Drosophila melanogaster: one gene and its partners. The protein of the gene in region 4 purifies or fractionates together with the protein of the main gene of each other region. This does not show direct contact. Each region holds a gene or a part of one and is shown on either strand. Other genes may lie near its edges.

Evidence for each region.
Region 1: the proteins of PhKgamma (region 4) and mRpL1 purify together in Drosophila melanogaster (affinity purification with mass spectrometry, with the first as the bait; one large-scale study listed by BioGRID). This does not show direct contact.
Region 2: the proteins of PhKgamma (region 4) and Rilpl purify together in Drosophila melanogaster (affinity purification with mass spectrometry, with the first as the bait; one large-scale study listed by BioGRID). This does not show direct contact.
Region 3: the proteins of PhKgamma (region 4) and bru3 purify together in Drosophila melanogaster (affinity purification with mass spectrometry, with the first as the bait; one large-scale study listed by BioGRID). This does not show direct contact.

The regions. Positions count from the first base shown.
Region 1 is NT_033777.3:8,299,418-8,303,286, reverse strand, and holds mRpL1 (mitochondrial ribosomal protein L1), read right to left. Parts: upstream 1,848-3,869; 5' UTR 1,776-1,847; coding exon 1,585-1,775; intron 1,531-1,584; coding exon 1,221-1,530; intron 1,164-1,220; coding exon 600-1,163; 3' UTR 517-599; downstream 1-516. Other genes in the region: nac (neuronally altered carbohydrate), read left to right, coding at 1-222, 276-488; CG9626 (uncharacterized protein), read left to right, coding at 3,389-3,869.
Region 2 is NC_004354.4:1,391,161-1,397,871, reverse strand, and holds Rilpl (Rab interacting lysosomal protein like), read right to left. Parts: upstream 4,819-6,711; 5' UTR 4,329-4,818; coding exon 3,714-4,328; intron 3,649-3,713; coding exon 3,158-3,648; intron 2,790-3,157; coding exon of another isoform or gene 2,775-2,789; coding exon 2,679-2,774; intron 2,627-2,678; coding exon 2,501-2,626; coding exon of another isoform or gene 2,497-2,500; exon of another isoform or gene 2,320-2,496; coding exon 2,187-2,319; 3' UTR 535-2,186; downstream 1-534. Other genes in the region: CG32813 (uncharacterized protein), read right to left, coding at 6,307-6,711. UniProt on the Drosophila melanogaster protein: May have a role in lysosome distribution by interacting with Arl8.
Region 3 is NT_037436.4:13,795,503-13,800,529, reverse strand, and holds the start of bru3 (bruno 3), read left to right. Parts: upstream 1-2,002; 5' UTR 2,003-2,506; intron 2,507-5,027.
Region 4 is NC_004354.4:11,693,125-11,698,161, reverse strand, and holds the start of PhKgamma (phosphorylase kinase gamma), read right to left. Parts: upstream 3,026-5,037; 5' UTR 2,883-3,025; exon of another isoform or gene 2,778-2,882; intron 2,339-2,777; 5' UTR 1,851-2,338; intron 1,760-1,850; 5' UTR 1,714-1,759; coding exon 1,622-1,713; intron 1,097-1,621; coding exon 918-1,096; intron 852-917; coding exon 567-851; intron 502-566; coding exon 411-501; intron 1-410.

The DNA of each region.
Region 1 (3,869 bases), on a different chromosome or scaffold from region 4:
ACGAAGAAATCATTGGGTTATGTCAACCAGGAGGTATGGCTGCTTAGCTACTACAATAATCTCTACTCCACGTTGCTCTTCCTGCCCCTGATCATCATCAATGGCGAGCTGGAGAGCATTATCACGTATCCGCACCTGTGGGCTTCTTGGTTCTGGGCCGCGATGACGCTTAGTGGCCTTTGTGGCTTTGCCATTGGATTTGTCACTGCGCTGGAAATCAAGGTAATCAAACAATTCACATGTTAATCGCTTATCTAGCCCGATCGATATTTCAGGTCACATCCGCCCTGACGCATAATATCTCGGGAACGGCCAAGGCCTGCGCTCAAACGGTGATCGCCACTCAGTACTACCATGACGTTCGATCGGCTCTCTGGTGGACCTCCAATGTGGTGGTCCTGGTGGCCAGCGCCGCCTACACCCGTGTCAAGCAGCTGGAGATGATGCGCCAGCACCAACAACGCAGCACCGCCACCCAGAAGGCCTGAATGCAATTAAAAGCTGCCAAAGTAAAGTAGACTGTTTAGGACTCTAGGAGATGTAAGTTTAAAGTATGCACAAACAATCCATCAACAAAAATACATAGGCTTCTGTTTTAACTAATTGGAGGCAACTGCTTCTTGGGGTTCCGCCGGCTCTGTCTGCTTCTTGGCCCCATCCCTTTTCACCTTCGCCGTGCTCTTGTCCCACATCTCTGGAACGTAGACAAAGGGATCGATTTTCAGCTGCTCACTGCTTGGCGGGCTCTTCAGCAGGACACGTGTAATGAAACGTCCCTCGCGCTTGGGCCTCATAGTGTTAATATCCTGCAGTAGGAACTTGATGTTCTCCTCAAGCTTCTGGACATCCATGTCCAAAGTGCCCACACTGGCGGTGATCAGGCCAAAGTTTTGCTGGTACTCATCCTTGGCTGCACTGTAACTAATGCCGCTGGAGAATTTGACGATCATCTCGGCCAGGTTGGTGCCCAGCGTCTCGCTCTTTGGATTTGGGAACTTGCGTTTCATCAGGCCTCGCAGGGCCACCAGCTCGGCCAGTATATTCGGATGGGCAATGACGTACTGGTAGTCGGAGAGCAGCAGCTCGCCGCTGGTAATATCCTTAATGAGCTCCACGCCGCCGACTAGCGAGGCGCCAGCTTCCCTGGCCTCCAGGACTTCATTCTGGAAATAAATTTCAAGATGTTATTTTATGATTTTGTACTAAGAAGCTGCACTCACATTTCCCTTGGTGAAAACTATGATCTTCCGCTCCTCGCCGTGGTCAAACTTGTGTGGAATCATGGCCATGCGCTGGAAGTTATCCACAAAACGTGTGATCTTCTCCGCCTGCATGTTGAGTTCAATATCCAAATTGAGGGGAGCATTGGGTACGTTGTACATGCTGGGATGATGCGTCTCCCGATGGCACTGGATAGCTTCCTGCACCGAGTACACTGGCCAGCGGTAGTAGCGCCCCACATAGCAGTCATCTTTGGGCACCTGTTTCCAGGAGTCATCCACATGTTTGTCCGCCCGTTTCACATTGATTCTAGAGAAGAACGATAGTAAATCCGGTGTTATGGACATCGAGCTGACAACCTACTTCTTGTTGCGCTGGTTGTGCGGGATGAATCCAACCTTCTTCACTTCCACCTTGACTTTCTTCTTGCGGGCCTTCTCCCGAGTTCCTTTACGGGCCGCCTCGCTCACGGCGGAAAGATGCAGCAGGCGGAGGGGCTCCACCGTGCTCTGGCGCAGGGCCAGTGCCCTCATTGAAGACAGAATGGACTGCATTTCTTTCAGAAATATTACTATTTACTGGAATGCAAACCTCTCGCTTTGCATAACCTCGCCGGCCAGAACTGCCAACTCTTCGTCGGAAAACTACTGTTTACCACACTGTAGCTGATAAAAGCCTGACCACGAACCATGGTTGTAAACTTGGCTAATAGTAATAGCACGAATTGAAGTCAATGTTTTTAACGGGCTTTTTCAAAAACTATTTTGAGGTGCGTTTATTCGAATAATAATTTATGAGTTAGAAATTGGGTATGAACCTGTACACCCAATTTTTATCTCATAAATTGTAAAAATACATTTAATTACATAGTGATTGAATTTTAATTATTATTTTTCAATAAGAAATCCACTATAGGGCTGATTAACCCATTGATTAATTATATTCAAAGAGACCTTTGGAAATCAGCAAAGAGATCAAAACACTGCCCGTTCTCTCTATAAATAAATCTCAAAATTTTCAACTTTTCCGATGTGTTCAAAAGCGCCGTACCGCTCAGAATAGCTTCGACCGACGAACGGAACGGACGTATACGGAATTTCAAAGTCGCGGAAAATCGCGAGTATCCGTGAGGGAGAGAGAAAGAGACAGCGAGCGAGTGGCCGATGAAAATTCCGCGGCGGGTCGGACGACCGAGTGTGCAAGTAGGAAAAGTGCAAGTAATAATTTGTTATTGTTTTTCCTTTCAACAAAACACCAAAAATAGACCGACAACCTTGCGCATAAACCCATTAAACAAAAGAAGCGCAGCCAGGAAGAAAAGTCGAGCGAAGAAAAGAAAAATGTGTGTATTCAATGTGTGGCAACAGTTTCGATATAACGTTCGGAAAGTGGCGAAAGTAATGGGGGCCGCCGACTTCAGATACACATGATCTGATCCCAGCACCAGCCATCCACCCATTCACCCACCCACCCACTGATCCACCGGTCCACGTCCGTCCATCCATCCATCCAGCACATTTCTTTCGCGAGTGCGTGCACTTTCGCATAAATTGGAAATATTAATTGCGTGTAACCTAAAAGTGGAATAAAGGAAGTGTTGCGCACTTGGCGATGGGGAATCGAGAAGGGGGCCAGCGGCACATTGGGTGTGTGTGGTGGCGTAGTGCGATCGCCATGGGGAGGCAAACAAAAGAGTGTCAGCGTTTTATAAATAGTTTGGTTTGCGGCGTGCTTTTATTTGTTCTTCGGCGGGCCTCCCGACGCACGATGGCATCCAGTTGTTGAGCCAAAAGCGTAATCAAGACCCAAAACACAATAACACAGTGCATTCCGAATCGGTTCTCCGTTTCGGTTAAGTGACCACACGCGTGCATATTTTTGGGAAAGATTCAAAACTTTCGCACATGTGGGAAAACGTGCTGAAATGGGATTTTCGAAAATATTGTTTACATTTCGCGGACTTAATCGTTACACTTTAGGACTCGTTTGTATGTGTGTGTGTGTTTGTGTGTGTGTGTGTGCTTGGCGGCGGACGTTCCACATTGGTCTTCCTCTTCTATAAACAATCTCCCGATTTTGATAATTCTCGGATATTCTTTTCTTGTGTGCGTTTTTAGTGGCGAATCGGGCAGAGTAAACAAACAAGTTCCTATTGAGCGATATCGAGATGGAGTGGGACAAGCCACCTCCGCCGCCGCATCCACCGCCAAAACCCCGACGAACGCGATCCCGGCAGAATGTCCTGCACTATGAGTCCTTGCCCACCGCTCCGCCGGCGATGTGCGGTCGCACGGAAGAGAACATTTTCCAGTTTCCGGCGGTGGCCTCCCGTGCCCGCAATCTCTCCGCCTCCCCTAAATTCGAGAGGAGAGAGGCCAAGGATCTGCCCGTTTGCGAACTGGGTAAGCACTCTTGCTCCAAGTGCCAGCCCTATCGGGCGGATCGGGGCACCATCGAACCGCTGAAAACTCGCCTCAACTCGGCAATTGAAGCCATGGATGAGCTGACTCGCACGTACGCTTTGCTGGAGGGATTTCTGGAGCACCGACTAGCCACCATCACCGACAACGAGGCGGGTGAACGGGAAGCTGAGCTGACAGTTGTTGATGATGACGATGTTCCTTCCACTAGTCAAGTTGCCAATCAGC
Region 2 (6,711 bases), about 10 Mb from region 4:
GTCGGGCGCGGGGGAATCCCATGGGATGCACTGCCAGGTGTTACGCAATCAGCCTTGTTCGACATCCACCCCCTTTTCTTAGTACCAAAAGCACGATCGAAATACAACCCCACCGACTGTCCTTGTGCAAAGGATATCAGTAGCTAGAGGCTACAGGCTCGGGCGACATGGAAGCCAGAACTCCAATGACTAGAGCACCCCGAAATGTGTTTATGGGCAAATTGAAGTCGCTACTAACCTTTAAGGCTTGATATGAAATGTTATGATACGTGAAAATACTTGAACTTGAAGATGGTCTTCAAACATCCTTCGTTTCTGACGATGAAACACACGATGATGACAATGATCTTGAACTCTCTGCCGATCTCGACTTGTTTCTTACAATACCTTGGGAATAATTTTGAAAGCAATCGAAAATAAGCCAAATTAAAAACGAACTTATAAGTAATGTTAAATAATGAAATAAACACCTTAGGTTCCGCACAGCGAGTGCTCCACTTGCCGCCAACCCAAATCATTCATTCGAAATCCACTCCACGGTTCATAAGTTTATTTTGGTGGTCGCTCAAAGGAAGCCACTCATAAATTTGATGTACGTACAGGGGTGAGCAGATGATACCCGGATGCGGAGGCGTCGCCCTCTGATGCGGTTCACCATGATGCGATCCAATCCGATCCGATCCGATGCTCGCTATCGCTCTGGTCGCTCCTGCAGTCCATGGTCCAAGTGCCACCCTGGTACGCTTTGAATTTTGTATAATTGTTGCCTTGTTGCCTTTTTGGTTAGTCATAGTTCCATATAATACGGTATTACATAGTATATAGTAAAGTATATTATGTATAATGCATGTGTATATGTGTATATAAATTTAGTTAACATTAATTCACCAAATACTCAATTTCTCTCCATCTTCTTTTCGTGGTCTTCACCCACTCAACGTTAGTCCACTTTTTCATATCGATGCCATTGCGCGCTCGTGTTCAATTTTATAAAAGTTCAGTTGCCACTCTTTGTTGTGTTCGAAACGAGATGGGTTAATTGAGATTGGTAAGTCGGGTGTTGTGGGCTGGGTGTTCGGTGCGTGGTGTGGGTAGTGGGGGGGAGTTGCGAATAATGGGGGCATAGGGTCTGACCATTAGTCTTTGGCACGTTCGCATCGACGATAGCGATGGAGCTGATATGTAAACGGAGTTTCCTCGCTTTGTGCTTGTGAGTGGAAGGGGAGCGGGAAGTGACACCATATTGGTAATTGCACTACATGGGCGTCTCTCTCATGGATACTAGCTATGAACGAGGATCGGACTGAGATCTCCTCGAAATCACTGGGCTTCAAGTGGAGTGGGGGCTCTGGGCGAAGTCGTCTGGGTGCGGTAACAACAATTCGAGCTGGTCAGTGGCTAAGTCTATGGTAAAACTCTTGGCTAAAACATTCCTTGATTTAGACTGGCCGGCCGGCAATGGGGTAACGCGGAGATTTTCGCTTTTTGGCATCTTTGTGCAATCGAATGCTATCAATGGAATCTACTATGCTGAGATTGGTTTCGTTAGTTAGTTCAATTCAAGTCAACAAACAATGCGCTAAGGTTGTAACGTTTGCTAATTATATATCAATTATATATACTTTTAGGTTTCTTTCGCTCTAAGGTTTGCGTATTTTGATAAATTTGTAATATATTTATAAGGCCGCTTGGGGCAACTGCTATGAGAGTGCTAAAATACTCATACGGGCTGGCGATAGCCGAAGATCTAGATAGATGCAGGGGTCTTAGGGACAGTTACACTACGGATAATTGAAGCAAAATCTTCCCGTTCTACCTAGACTTTCTAAAATCTGGGGTCCCAGAACCAGAGTCCTCCTCGTCTCGTCTCCTCATCTCACCGAATCGTTTTCTCTGCATCTGCACCTGGGAGGACTGTTTGTCTTTCTAAGCTTGTTTTTGTCTAAATTCATTAAAAACTCACTCGGCAATCTTTGCACAATCTCGATATCGTTTTCGTTCTCGTTTTCGTTCTCGATCTTGATTTTTGAAACACGTGCACATGTGGGGGCTGTGGTATGTTTGGAGTCTTATGTGGTAGTCGTTAATCAAGTTAGAATAAATCGAAGGTACGAAAAATACAAAGTGGATTCGTATTAAATATATCCAGTACAGTTAGGGGTTACGAGTTACGAATAAAACGCGTATTACGTAAACAAAATTGCATAACAACTTAGAATTATGAGGGCACAGCAATCGAGTGTGTAAACTATGTATGTACAGCTCAGGCGGAGCAGGTGAATGGCGAGGGACAGGGTCAGATACAGGCTGTTGCCTAAACTAAATGTAAACGTAATCGTAAGACGTAAAAGTAAAAAATAAATAATAAATTAGGATGCAAGATGCAGGGGTGCGGGGGGCAGTGCAAACGGAACGGAACGGAATGGAACGGAAACGGAAAAACAGAAAACAAACGAAAAGTGAAATGCACGCCAACTCGGATGCTTTAAGGGGCGCTTACTTCGCCGCTGCGGAGGCGGAAACGGAACCGGGCGTGGCCGACAGCGCCATCTTGGAGAGCGTGGCCAAGGAACGTTTCGGGAACGTGTTGCTGCCGTCCGACGGGTCCGAGAACAGCTTCCGGAAGCTACAATGCAGAAAGTGAATCGAGAGCTCTACGCCGATTGAATGCCACTTACAATTTGCGTATTCCCGACTCGGAGCTCTTCTTCCAGGGCGCATCGTCCGGCTCGTAGGGCAAAGGGCCCTGCACGGGCGCATCGTGTCCAGGTGGCCTGAAAAGCGATGCACTATGTATGTACTTAAGTAATCATAACTAGGGATAGTAATTAGCTATAAAAACTCAAAAATAATCAACATATAGATCCGAATCCAACGATTTGTTTGACTCCCAATTGTGCCATTTACCAGTTACCTGCTGACCTTGCGAAAAAACACGCAAATATATACGTTTAAGCTCTGAATCACCTGCCAATTAAACGTTTGCATCATAGGGTCTATTTGAATATTGTTAGCACTGAGCAACAACAAAAGAATGACTCAGGCTGAAAATGCTTGTTCGTTAATCACTTTGACTCAAGCGGTCGTTCATAAATTCTTGTTTTCTCTGGTGAGGGACCACAAAACTAAAGGATGTAACAGAAATGGGCTCACTCACGTTTCTCCGGCCGCTGGTGGCTCCAGCTCGTTCGCCTCGGCAGCCGCCTCCTCCTCGTCGTCGTCATCATCGTTGTCCGCCACGTGACCATCGTCGTCCTCATCGCTATCGTCGGAGCTGGAGAAGTGACGCTGCCGCTTGCCCTTCGCCTGGCTTGGTGGCTTCAGCTCCGCCAGCTGCTCGTTGAGGGTGTCGATGGTGGTCAGCAGCTCATCGCGCTCGCTAATCAACTCTTTCAGCTCGCGCGTGGTGTACCGCGGCCGGTTGGGATCGTTCTGGCCATCGTCGTACGAGGCCACCAAATCCTCATTCTCCTTTTCGGCCAGGCCCAATCGCTTGCGCAGTTGGTTGATCTCCCGGCTCTGGTCCTGCAGCTGGGCAAGAAAGTCGGCGCGCTCCTCGCACAGCGTCTTCACTTGGGCCTGCATCAGCTTGTGGCGGCGCCGGGTATCTCGCTCTGATGCCTTCAGACGCTCCGCCTGGATATTGAGCTGGGAAGGGTTAGTTAAGAATACGTTAGCTGGGAATATGAGCACCTATCCTTAAGGACACTCACGTGCTCCAGCTCGCTGTACTTGTCCTGCAGCTCACGCTCGCGGTGCTTCAACTCGTCGCGCTGCTTGTATATCTGCTCCTTCAGCCGTTGCAGCACTTGAGTATCCGAAAGAGCGCTGTGCAGCTCGTGGTTGGTCATGCTGATAATGCTCTCGGTGAGACTGGCCCCCAGGCCGGAGCTCTGGGCGGACGATGACTGCAGATCCTGAGTCTGCTTTACCAGCCGCTTGTTCTCGTCTTGCAGCGAGGAGACGAGATCGACCAGCTCGTTGGTCTCGCTGCGCCACTGCTCTTCGATCAGCTCCAGCTCCTTGTCGAACCGCCGCCGGAACTCGGCCTTCTCCAGCTTCTCGCTCTCCAGCTGGGCCACCTTATCGCGCAGCTCCTGGATGGTGGCGTTCTCGCGCTCGTTCTTCGTGGCCAGCGCCTCCAACAGCTCCAGGGTGTTGATGATCTTGGGCATCAGCCCGCTGACGGCGTCCGTGCCGAAGCGGTCCATGATCCGCTCGTACTCCTTGCCAATGTCGGAGGCCAAGTCGTACACATCGACCACGCCGATGTCGTCGATGGCGTCCAGGACCATTTCACCCATCTCATTGAGGTGAAAGCCGGGCATCCAGGTGGTCGCTCAGATAATCTGTGACTCCTGCCAAGCGCTGTATCACTTGTTTACTTGCTCACACTTGCTCACTGGACTCTGTGTTCACTGAAGACCAGCTTCAGTTGTCGCCTCTTTCCACGGTGTCCTGCTCCTCGGAGTTGCTTCGGGAATCGCTGCACCAGCTGACAGGGATTTTTCTTTCGCTAGCAGGACAAGTGTGCGTGTGCGTGTACGTGCGCCAGGTGTTGGTTTTCCAAGTGCTTTAAGGGAGGGGGGGAATCCGCAATCCGAAGTACGGAATTCGCACTTCGCAATTCACAGTTGGCGCACACAGACTGCACAGTAGTGTGCGTGGGAGTGGCAGTGCTCACTTCATTCACTCTAGTTGTTACTGCCGCCGAGTCGCTTTTCGCTGCCGATTCCCACATAAACAATCCGACTTTCCGCAATTTATTTGCACAATTTTTGCTGAACCGAACTGGAACTGATGAGTAACGAATAACTGGTTCGCGGGCGCCCATATGTGCGAACCAGTTCCCAGATGAGCAGTCGGTTGCGCAGTCTGGTAGCGCTTTGTGCTGGCTGGTCAGTGTTGGGCAACGCCAATTCGTTTGGCGCCAAATGAAGAGCAGCTTAAGCGAGCAAAATGAGCGTAAGTGCCAAAATGTTAAGCCTTAAACGAAATTTTACTATCCAAAAGTCAACAGGCTGGGCCACAAAGTAAATTCATTGTTTTATTAATAAGTTCTTGTTTACAAAATTGTATAAATAGTTTTGTTTTCTTGGTTTTCAGTTTCGTTTGGTGTGTGCTTCCTTGTAAATTGTGGTTACTGGGTCTGGATAGGCAATTAATTGTATTTTACACGTACAGTAGCACTAACACTAACTAAATGGTTTGTGTGCCACATTTACACAGTTATGCAGCGGCGACTAGCAAGTTTCTTCTCTTTACACCATTTCAAATCATTGGTTTGGTTTCACTGGTTCATTAAGTACATAAATTAGCTACAGTTCCTTCAATGCTTTCCTCGGGGGAACAATCTAAGCGATATAAAAAAATAATACACAAGTTCTCGGCTAGGCGTAACAATTTCGATTTCTTTTCTGTAGCTCTTTCGTTCTTCACTTTTGACTTTAGGGACTAGATTAGGAACCACATTTGTACATTTCATTTTCATGCGTTCTTAGCTGCTCGATCTCTAATTAAGTAAGTAAGTAAGGTCTAGTTTTGTAAAGTAAATGTACATTCAAGATAGTCACCTTCTTCTTCTTATTCTTTTTGGTAGCAGCTCGTAGGAAAACTTAAAAATAAACACGTTACATGTATAGAAAAAAAAAGGCAATAAAAAAATAGGCGACGCAAGACATTTTAAAATGAGATGAATCGCTATGTTTCAGTTAGGCTGGCAAATAAATAGTGGGTCGCGAGTGGTTATGACCGGTTATTTCAGCAGGTCCTTTGGCAAGCATTTTCGATGGCAAGGCCCCAATCTTGGTTTCTGTTTTGGCACTCAAACTGGGCGTAAATAAATATATATGGTAAAATTAATGTTACAAAGTGGTTGCGTCAATCCATGGTAGCAAGTATAAAATTAGCAAACTAGACAAAATACTAGCACCCCTCCTGGGGATCCTGATTCTGCTGCAGGGCCAGCTGCCTCAGGAGCTCGGAGGTGACTTCCTGGCGCTTCGAGCGCTTCGCTGGCGGCGGAGAGGAGTGGGGCGGTGTATCTGGCGACGACAGGCCGCCCACCACGCCAACATCCCTGACCAAGGCATCCTGTGAGTCATCTTCGTCTACATCGTCTTCCTCGTCTTCGTCGGGTAGCGTCAGGTCCGTTATGGCCTGGTCACGGTTCTCGCCATCGTCCTCCGACTGCTCGTCCTCCCTAGACCGCCCATCATCTATGTCCACTATCGAGATGATGTCGCTGTCGCTTTCGCTTTCGCCCGCAGGACCCCCGACTAGTTCGAACCGCCCCTTGGCTGCGGACTAGCTGGTGCTGGCCTGCGTCTGCAACACATTGGCGGAAGCGGACGATGAGGCACTAGCGGCGGTCACGGCGACGGGCGAGAGCACACTGGCTCCAGGGAAGTGGCACGGGCACGCAGGATTGGGCATGTGATTCGCCTGACTGTTCAGCTTGCGGGTGAGCGTCTGCCAGTATTCGATTTGGGCGTTGATCAGGTCGATTTTCCGCTTGCTCTCCTCGATCCTCAGCGAATTCATCAGCTCCTGGTGCTGGCTCCTCGTCCCACCGCTGCCACTTCCTCCGCTGCCCGACGTGTGTGCCCCGCCGATCCCCAGGCCCACGCCGCTGTTGTTGGCACTGCTCCCGCCGCTTCCGGCTCCGGATCCGCTGCTGTTCAAGGCGCTGCACACTGTGCCCGCCACTGC
Region 3 (5,027 bases), on a different chromosome or scaffold from region 4:
TTCTTGGCGTTGGGTTCACAAGAGCAGAAAAAATATTTAATTGATAAATTCAGCAACGATAGCTTTACTGGCTGATTTAAGTGGATACAATTAAAACTAGTTTCTCTTTCTCTATTTGCGCAGTTCTTTCGATTTATTTGTTATAATTAAATTAATATGATTTATTTTAACCGATTTATTTGCACACAAAAAATAGTGTAAAAATTTTTTAAATATTGAAAAAAAAAAAACGTATAAACGCTAGTATTTCGCAGCTTTTTAAATTTGCCTTTAAATTGAGCTTCTGATTAATAGCGCCTGTTTTTTATGCCGGCAAAGTCCTTCCTTTTTTGTGTTAAAGATATCCTCTTCCATTCTCATCTGGTGTTTTCGATGTTTCTCCCTTAGGCTTTTTGGCTCATCTTAACTCACAGCGTTCCTTTTTAGTTTCACTGTCTCCATTCGTTTTGCCTTCCATAAATAAAATAAATGTAGGTGAAAATATACATAAATAATGGGCACAAGCGCGGCTTTTTTTATGAAGTGTTTGAATGTGCGAGTGTCAACCCAGGGCACTTGAAAGATGGTGGGGAGGGGGGCTTGTGATGGGGGCGACGTCTGTGAAAATTATAAAACAGACGACGCAGCCATTCTGGCGGGGCAAAGATATTATGGCCTCTGAAGGCTGAGAAGGGGACCCCTGCCATGTAGGCGTGTGTAAATAGCAAAAACCTAGTCGGGCGTACACAAGCCAAGTCATCATGGAAAATGGCTAAACAGGCAAAAGAATAAGGGCCAAAGAAGATAGAAAGATAACAGAGTGGAAGGCATGACAAATACGTTTTCTCTGCCTTTTTTTTATGGCATATACATATATGCCCCGAGGTAGTGGGACGTATAAAGTTTGACCTCCAATCAATAAATCACATTAAAAGGGGATCTTTCAAGAAATGAAGAGAATGACAATGGACAAAGATGGCCAATAACTGACCCATAATTGTTCATTGTCACGTCATTGTCCGCGTCAGTTGCTCAAGGCACATGAGAATAGTATCCAGCAAGAAATGTATTTATTCTTGGCCTCTTTTTCGTTCTTTTCCGCTAATTATTGTGTAATATTAATCTTATTAATAAATAACAAGGAATCATAGTATCCATATACTAAGAAACATCTCTCTAATAGCTAAGAAGTATCCTTTTCTTGTCACCTAGATCTCGCTTTTCTCCGCAAGCTAGATATACAGCCCAAGTATCCTTAATAAACACCGCACCGATAAATGACTGTTACTCATAGTATTCACCTAGAAAGGATGATGTACTTTTCCCCGAAATGAACACTTCGCCATTAAATGGGTGAGGAGTATCCTTTTTGTATCACTTGGCTCTGGATTTTCGCCGCTTTTCTCTCTTCATTTTCTTCTGGGCCAGTCAGGTCTCATCATCCGCTTGCGCTTTTTTCTCAGCTTTTGGCTTGATTTCCTTTTTTGTCGCTACAGCCAGAGTCCTTTTGCTCCGCGCTTGCCTTTTACTAGCCCAGACTGCGCCCACAAAGACGTGTACATATATGTGTTTTTCCAGCTGCCAAAAGGCTGCGCTTGGCTTCTTCGCAGCCAGTGTTTTGTTTTTGGCTTCGTCAGCCAACTTTAGCTATTGACAGACCTTGCCACCTCGCGTCCATGTCCTTGCTGGAAAACATTTCGCTTTCAGCGCTCATTTTGCAGGATGTCGGGAAAGTGATGTAAAAAATATACACAACAATTTCAAGATATCTTCTGTGGCCTATACTGCGTGCCCAAAAGCCATAATTATCACGCGTTCACATGGCGTATACGAGATTTTGCTGTTTCGCGTTTAAACTCTTAACCGAAATTTATGCTTTCGCTGTTGCTAATTGTACATTTTGTTGCTCTTGCTGTTTATAATGTAAAATTTATTGTGTTTGTGCATGTTTATTATCGCCACGCCGTTACGCGCCCTCATATGGATTTGTAACACGCCCCCCTACACCCCCTCTTTAAACATCACTGTGCATTTATGTTTTACAGCGTCTGCAAAAAATATTATCAAAAGTAATAAATGAATAACAAAATACAAAACAAACGCCATCAATAATTCATGGGAAAAAAAACAACACAAACAGAAATAACCAAAAATAAAAGCTTGCGGCGCGTCGTTCTTTAAATATTTTATAAATTAATTCTGCAAACAGCGTAAGCGAAATTAAAAAATACAACAAAAACATCAGGAATTAATGTAGTGCCTAATGCAATGTGTAATAAAACCGTGTAGACCAGGAGGTGCGCCAGATCATTAAATACCAGCAAACACTGTTAGGTGAAAAAAAAAAAAAAATTATGAAATACAAATTTATATTTATTATTGAATAAATATGCAGAGTAAATATTACATATGCTAACCGTGAAAACAAATTGAATTATACAGCAAATAAAACAACAAATACTTTTCGTCGTGTTTTCGAATGTTTGGCTATTAAAGCGCTTACAGCTTAATTGGGCGTTACAAAGTGGTAAGTAAAAAAATAAACACTTTTGATAAACAATTATTTTTGAAAATATAAATTATTAAAATGATTTTAGTCAAAAGTTTCATAGAATAAGAAGATGCTTTACATATTCATAGTGTTATATTTTGATATATGTCCGTTTCTCTTTTTATTTTTTTAGCCCACATTAATCAAACGACTATCTCAGTAAATTTGCACAGTATTATTATAGTTTAATTCATCGCACAAAAGACTCCTTAATCTTTCATGCAGCGATCTTTTAATATCCTCTAACTATTATCAAAACATATCAAAAATTGTAATTAAGATACCATTGCATTTCCCTTGGTAAATATATCACAGTTTTTTCTAATTTAAACACACGTACACAACGTCGTTCATGGCTTTATCAGCCAACTTTGCTGATTCAAAGATATCTGTCGACCCTCATCCATCAACAAAAACCCAACCACAAATGTCACATGCAAATTCGGTTCGCCTTGTAACGGAAGTGCAAGCAAAAAATAGCGAAAGATTTTTATACATAACTTTTTATGCTACTCATTGTTGGGAGCAGAAACTTCAACCTCCTTCCAACGGTTTGAGGTGGTGCTTGCTGCACTTTTGCGGCGAGGTGAGCTGTACGGGTGTGTGCACGTTTTTGCATTTGCACCACTTTATTTCAATTTTATTCGCCATTTTCTTCGTTTGCGTGGTACATTTCCTGGGGACGAGACGCAGCAGTGACTTTTGCTCGGCAGCTGACTCGACTCCACTTTCCGTTTACCCTGGGCTGCCCTCCTCATTACCCTCTTTACATTTCTAATTACACGCTCATTTTAAACTTGAAACATTTGCAAACGGATGCCTGGGTCTGGAGGAGTCTGCGATTTTCAGTAACAATTTTCCATTTCCCATGCCATGAGGCTGCAAAAATGTTGGGTCACAAACGTAATAGACCAGATTTTCCTGTGACTGCTAAAGAAACCTAGCTGGCCGACCACAAATGTCTGGCATCTAGGGCTTGATTTGGAGACAAGTCTTGCATTTGACAATTTTCTTTCATTTTGGGGCCTGAAAACATTTTCCTACAATGTTCTCAATATATTCCACTATTTTCGAGTTCATTTTAAGACCAATTGATATTACTAGTAGTATTTAATCTTAAATGTTCGCTTAGGGAATAGTAATTTTTAATTGCCGTTTTTATACTTAGAACACAAAAAGTAGACACTGTAATTTGCGAACCCTGGACATACCAAACGCGTTTTCGTTTTGTTAAGTTACTAAAAAATTAAAACAATGCTGCATGTCCATTTTGCATGTGAGGAAACATTTGGCGCGCAAGTAAATGTGCATGTGGGTGAGATGGTTTTTGCCGTTTCTAGACTGCTCTTTGTTTGAGTTGTGTTTTAATTTCCATATTACGTGCTGGCCAGAGATTTATCAATGCGATTTATATAAGCCATAATTTCTCCATTTCACCCAGAAGTAAGTTAGTAAATTACTGCAATCGCTTGCAACATCAATGGGTAAAATTTAACAGCAATAACCTTACATAAGATTTCACTATTTTCCTTTTTTTATAATAGTTTGAAAAATTTATATTATTAATTGTTTAATTAGAAATAGAATAAGTATGGATTAGAAAGTAATAATGAAGTGAAAGGAAGCGGCGTTGACTTACGTTGCCATTTGACCTTTTCAGGCCCCTTGAAGGGCAATTCTAACACACTGTCTCTCTCACAGGAAATGTTTATAACATGTCCTCCTTTGACAACTTATTCAATGAAAAGTTTCAAATAGTAGCTTATGAATAGTAAAAGAAAGATTATGAAATCTATTGGTAAGCGTTTAAAATGTAATTGAAATATTGCTCATACGCAGCATGTGCCCATTTATTGAAACTGGAAAGAATGCCAAGTTGGTTCATACCCAGTTGGCCCAATCAGGCCAATTCAATGACATAAATCTTAAGGCAATAAAGCAAAGAATGTCGCAGCATGAGACTATTATATTGTGCATACTGAGCTGGTAAAGCAAATCTCGTAAATGTACTAATATAAAATTGGTATTAATGGGCTGTCGCCTTAGGTGAAATTACCTTTAAGAATAATTGTATAAACAAGCAAGGGGATAGGAAGTTTAATAAGAAAGTATAAACTTTATAATTGAGAAAACTATTTAAGCCTATTTAAGCTTTTTTTATCTAACCTTTATCTCAACTTTTTCCGTTCTATGGTTCTACTTTTGCGTCTTTAAATTTAGCAATTGCCGCACTTGTAGGAAAGTTTCAATTATAAGTCAGTGTGCCAAAAATTGTTTCACAAACTCTAATTAATTTATAGTGCTTCACAACTCGTAGCTTAAATGGTGCAGTTGATAAATTGGCGAGATAAAATTATAATAATGCTGATGTGGAAATAAAATATGCAAAATACTTATTGTACAACTCGTTCCTATTTAATGATATCTTTTCTCAGTTACTATTAAATATGTTAATCTGCGCAAAGCGGCACTAAAAAAAATACACCAACACGCAGGT
Region 4 (5,037 bases):
GTTTTGCTGAACCGAAGAAATATAGACGTCGGTATCGGAACTACTCAGATTTCAGATTATTATGCCTTTCTGCTTCTGACTCATTCATTAAAATGCACACCTAAAGATCAAAACAAATCGCCTGACACGAGGAACACTAGTTAATGAAATGTATCAGCAAAATTTGCGTCTATAAAACAAAAAAAAAAGGAAAACGGGTCTAATATCGATACAAAAGTTTAGACCTTTCTTTTTTTATGTAAGCAAAAATTTTTAATAATAAAATTAGCTGTTAACATAAGCAATTTAGTAATTTGAGCAGACAATTCGTATTACAATAAATGTGATACTTTTTGTGCTTAAATTGCTTCTATAATTTAAGTGAGCCAAAAAAAGGTGTAATAATAAGTGGCTAGTTTATTCGCTCTTACATGTCGACTTCCTGCGAGTAGCCGGGGGATCCCTCGAACATGTTGCACTTGAGCGTTTCGGGAGCCAAATAACCCGGCGTTCCGCACAGATCTAATAGGGGGAAAGTACATATAGTTTAGCTTAGCGAATACAGAAGGATGCTGTGTTATAATTACTTGTAAGTTTCTCGCCCTCTTGCAACTGCTTGGCGAAGCCAAAATCCGTGATCTTAACGTTGTGGTTCTCGTCCAGCAAGATATTCTCGGGCTTAAGATCCCGATGGACAATGCTCTTCGCGTGTATGTACTCGACGCCCTCAAAGATTTGTCGCATAATGGTGCGCGTCTTCTTCTCGGATAGCGTCACCACAGAGGTCAGATAGTCGAAGAGTTCACCTTTGGGACACAGCTCGAAGACGAGGAAAACAAATGCATCTGACTCGAACACATCCTGCAGATCAACTGTGCACGATAATGTAGATGGTTAGTGGTGGAATTAAGTACATGTGGGTGCTATGTGAGACTAACTTATGTAGGGATGCCCCATGACCTGGCGCAGTATTGAGATTTCTTGTCTGGTTGCTTCCAGCATGTGATATGGATTCGTCTCGCCTGACTCTGTGGTGGCGCCCAAGTCGATGATCTTGGCGGCAAACTCCTTGCCCGTCTCCTTTTCGATACATCGCCTCACGGTCGAACTGATGCCCCTGTAAGACAAACATTGCATGTAGATAAAGAGCTCTGCTTCTGCTGCACTTGACATTGCCATGATCGGGTATTTATCTAATCTCTAATCCCTAGAATTGTAATATGTAATTAGCCCTTGTTTTCGCTTAGTCTCTGCTATTTGCTTGGCAAATTCTGATCTTCGTTGTGGCGTGAGTAGGCCGGCAGACAGGCGCCGCTTGAAAAGCAGCCCATGCCATTGCTCCATGCCATGGAAGCTTGATGAGGCTGACTCACTTGGCACCATTTAGCCCAAACTGCATTACTGCAGACTTGGCAGTAAGAGGTTGGGAAAGCAGAAACAATCAATATTTGGACGTTCTAGTGATTTCTGAGGATACAAGTATCAATGTTTCTATGATCTTAAATTTGCAAAATTAACTACGCAAAGTAAATAGAAAGAAACGTATTTGAATGGTTAAGTGCAGGATCAATAATACTTCAACTGAATTTAAAAGGATTTAATAAGAGGTTTGAGATCACGGCAAGTGTAGTTCGATTCTTACCTGCCCAGAATCTCCTTGGGCTCGTATTTGGCATAGAAGCCCTTGGCCGCATCCTTGTCGGGCAGCAGATCATCCTCCTCGTCCTTGGCCATTAGATTTCGTGAAATCTTGCCGGCTGCCGAAACGGCAGTTTGGAATCTATTTGGTGGACGAGCGGAAATCAATTGGTTAGTGAAGGATTACATGATGATGACGGTGATTATGGTCGCAATCAAGATCAGTTAGTTACTCTGTCAGGCTGCCTGCTAATGAAGATGATGGGGATGGGATGCGGTGGCGATGGCGATTGAGGCGTAGGAGGGGGCGGTGATTTCTGGTGGTGTTCTGTTGATGAGGTTGATGCGATCGTTTAAGGCGTTGCTATTTTTATAACGACAATGTGGAAACGAACGGACGTGCGACACGAGTGGAATCTCTCGCCGACTGCGATTGAGACTGTGACTCTCCGACTTTGCGACTTTGCCGACAATCAGACTTGCCGACTTTCCGACTCTGCCGACTTTCGTTCTTTTCTTTTCGTTTCTTGCCGCCTCGCCGCGCTTCGCTTCGCTTCGTTCCGTTTCAGTTTAGTTCAGTTCAGTTCGGTCTTCCTTTTAATTACCAAGCCCCTGCTATTCGATTCCACCCGATTCGATTGGAAGTGGATCCTCTCCTGTCGCTCTCGATTGCTCTCTCGCTCAGCTGTTGGCGGCTGATTTAATTAATAACGAATGCCAACTGCAAAAACACAGATCGATTTGAATAACAGGCAAAAATTAAATCAAAAATAATAGAATTAAAATGTATTATTAAACAAGTGTTGTGTGTGTGTGTGTGTGTGGTGTGTTCACAACGAATGATTACACAACTACAACGCTTTGTTTTGTTTGCATTTCGAAAGGGTGCACATTATCGTTGCTGTTTTTGTTGTTGTTTAGCCTCCTTATCAGTGATACAGCTTCTCTTCTTCTACTACTGTTGCTGATTTCTTGCAGTTGTTTTGCTAGCACGCACGCACACACACATAAGCACGCTCGCATGCACCGACTATGTGCAGCAGGTTCCTTTTGTTTTTGTTTTTGCTCTGCTCTCGTTTCTCCCATCCTCCTTTGCAATCCCACACACACACTCGCGCACACAGACGCCGCATAGCACACATATACGCACACACACGCACCATCGTGGACATCCAACTAAGCGGGTACATTTCAATGTCAACTAAGGTTAAAAGTAGTACGCTTTTTGGCGGAGTTGGCGCCCGCACCGCCAGTGAAACACATACACGTGTGACCGCTCGCCTCTTGAATCGCTGGCAACGACGTCTCGAACATAACTCCACACAAAATTTATATTCCTCGGATTAAATTGCTAGTGCAACAATAAAACCCTGTATTTTTGACACAATCACAAAACTGGAGGTGGCACTAGTACCGATATCGAAGTAATGCTATCGATTGTTCCCGACACTCTGTCATATCGATAGCATTATATCTATCGACACGTAATTGTTAGCTAAGACACACCCCGACCAGGGATGGCACAGTTAGCTAAGACAACATCCTAACTTAGCAAGGACTTGATCCCACTCGGCATGGTTAGCAAAGACGCACTACCAAAATTGAACCCTCAACGGTGTTAATTTAAAATGAATCCTTTTCTAAATACCAATTAAATATAACAAACATAAGTGGACTTATAAAATAAGTCACTTCATAGATTTGAATATTTAAATTACCATTATTATATATGTTAACTTTTAACAAAAACTGTTGCTAACATTTTGCTTTGGCCTTAACTTCCTTTAACTTAAAACACGCGACTAGATGTTGATGTATTTTATATTTATTTACGGAATACAATTGTAAAAAATATTCAATAAGCGCTAAATGTATATAATAATTATGAGGCAAATGTTACATTTTCCTTTGCTTTCTTCCGCTGAATGGGCAAGCGGAGCTTAGAATGTTCTTCATTTTCGTTTTGGAAGGGTCGCGAAAAGGGATGATGATGGGTCACAAGATCGGATCGTTAGAATCCATTAAGTTAATACTCGGGCGGGACTAACCGCTCGTCGCGTACTTCGTGGATTAAGGTTTCAGTAACCTTCGGGATGCAGTCGGAAATACGTTGATTTGTTGTTGTTGTATATTTACTATCAAAATGCCGTAAATGGAATACACAATACAAATACAAATACAATTGCAGCAGCAAAGTTGTTCATTCAGTGCCGTATGTAGATACATTACAATAATATAATTATTAATTTATCAAAAAAAAAAAACCATATATATATATTTATAAAGAAGACAGACACACACGCTTGCTGTTGTACACATACACATCGGATCTCTAGGCTTACAAACTTACAAATAATATCTATTTATATACGTATCTTTATGGATTTCTTGCCATACTTGGTTTACGTTGCCTTGTTGTTTTTATTTTTCTTTCCTTCGTTACTGTTTTCGCGTCTAACCGAAGTTGATATTTCACCTAAGTGCACGCTTTTCAATTAGGGGAACGATCAGGATGTGGTAGGTTGTTATGCTCGGAAGGTTTGGAGTTTGGTGGAAACCGGTAGAAAAAGAGCTAGACGCTCCGGTTTTTTGGCTGGCAGGACGACCTAATATAGCAAATCCGTTTTCTGTGTACCCTCGCTGTACACAACTTCGGCGCCCGGCGTCGCCGTCAGATGGTAATCATCCTCGTCCACAGCTGAACCCTTCTTGGAGGCACCTGCTCCATCTGCAGTTCCAGGTCCTGCTTCCGTTGCCGCCAAGTCGCCCTCCTTGATCAGTCCCTCGCCGATGCCCATAATGCTGCCATTCCCGTTGAACATCAACCGGCTGCCCGCAGCTCCGGCTGGACTGCTCCCGTTGCTGCCTGGACTGTGGCTGCCATTGCTGCTCCCACTGCTGCTGCTCTCGGGCAGGGCGTATCGGGTGACACCCAGCTGGAATAGGTTGTCCATCGCCGTGCCCTTCATGGGCGTGTAGAAGCCCAGAGCCGTGGAGCCTGCAATTATGTGTAGAACGAGATTAATCGACTGTATATCTTTATTTCAAGTGGGTTTAAATCCTTCCAAGGATTTGGGGTTAGTACAATGATAAATAAGGTGGCTCCGAGTTGGGAAATATATATTTCAGAACATATATATATATATTTATATGTATATATAATCGAGATGAGGTGACGGTGTTGTGGATAAAGGAGGATCTCGCCTGGATCTTTTCAAGCAAATGAAAACGAAACATGACCAGTGGATAAAGAAATGGAAGTGGAGATGAGCGATGGAAGTTGATGATATGACTAGGATGTGCCAAGTGGTGTTGGTGGCTGGTGTGTGCGTGTGTTCGAGTGTCTGTTCTAATCTGGGTTAGTTACCTTAATAATAATATGAATTGGCGATTAGTTTGATTGCCCAGCGGAGCAGACAG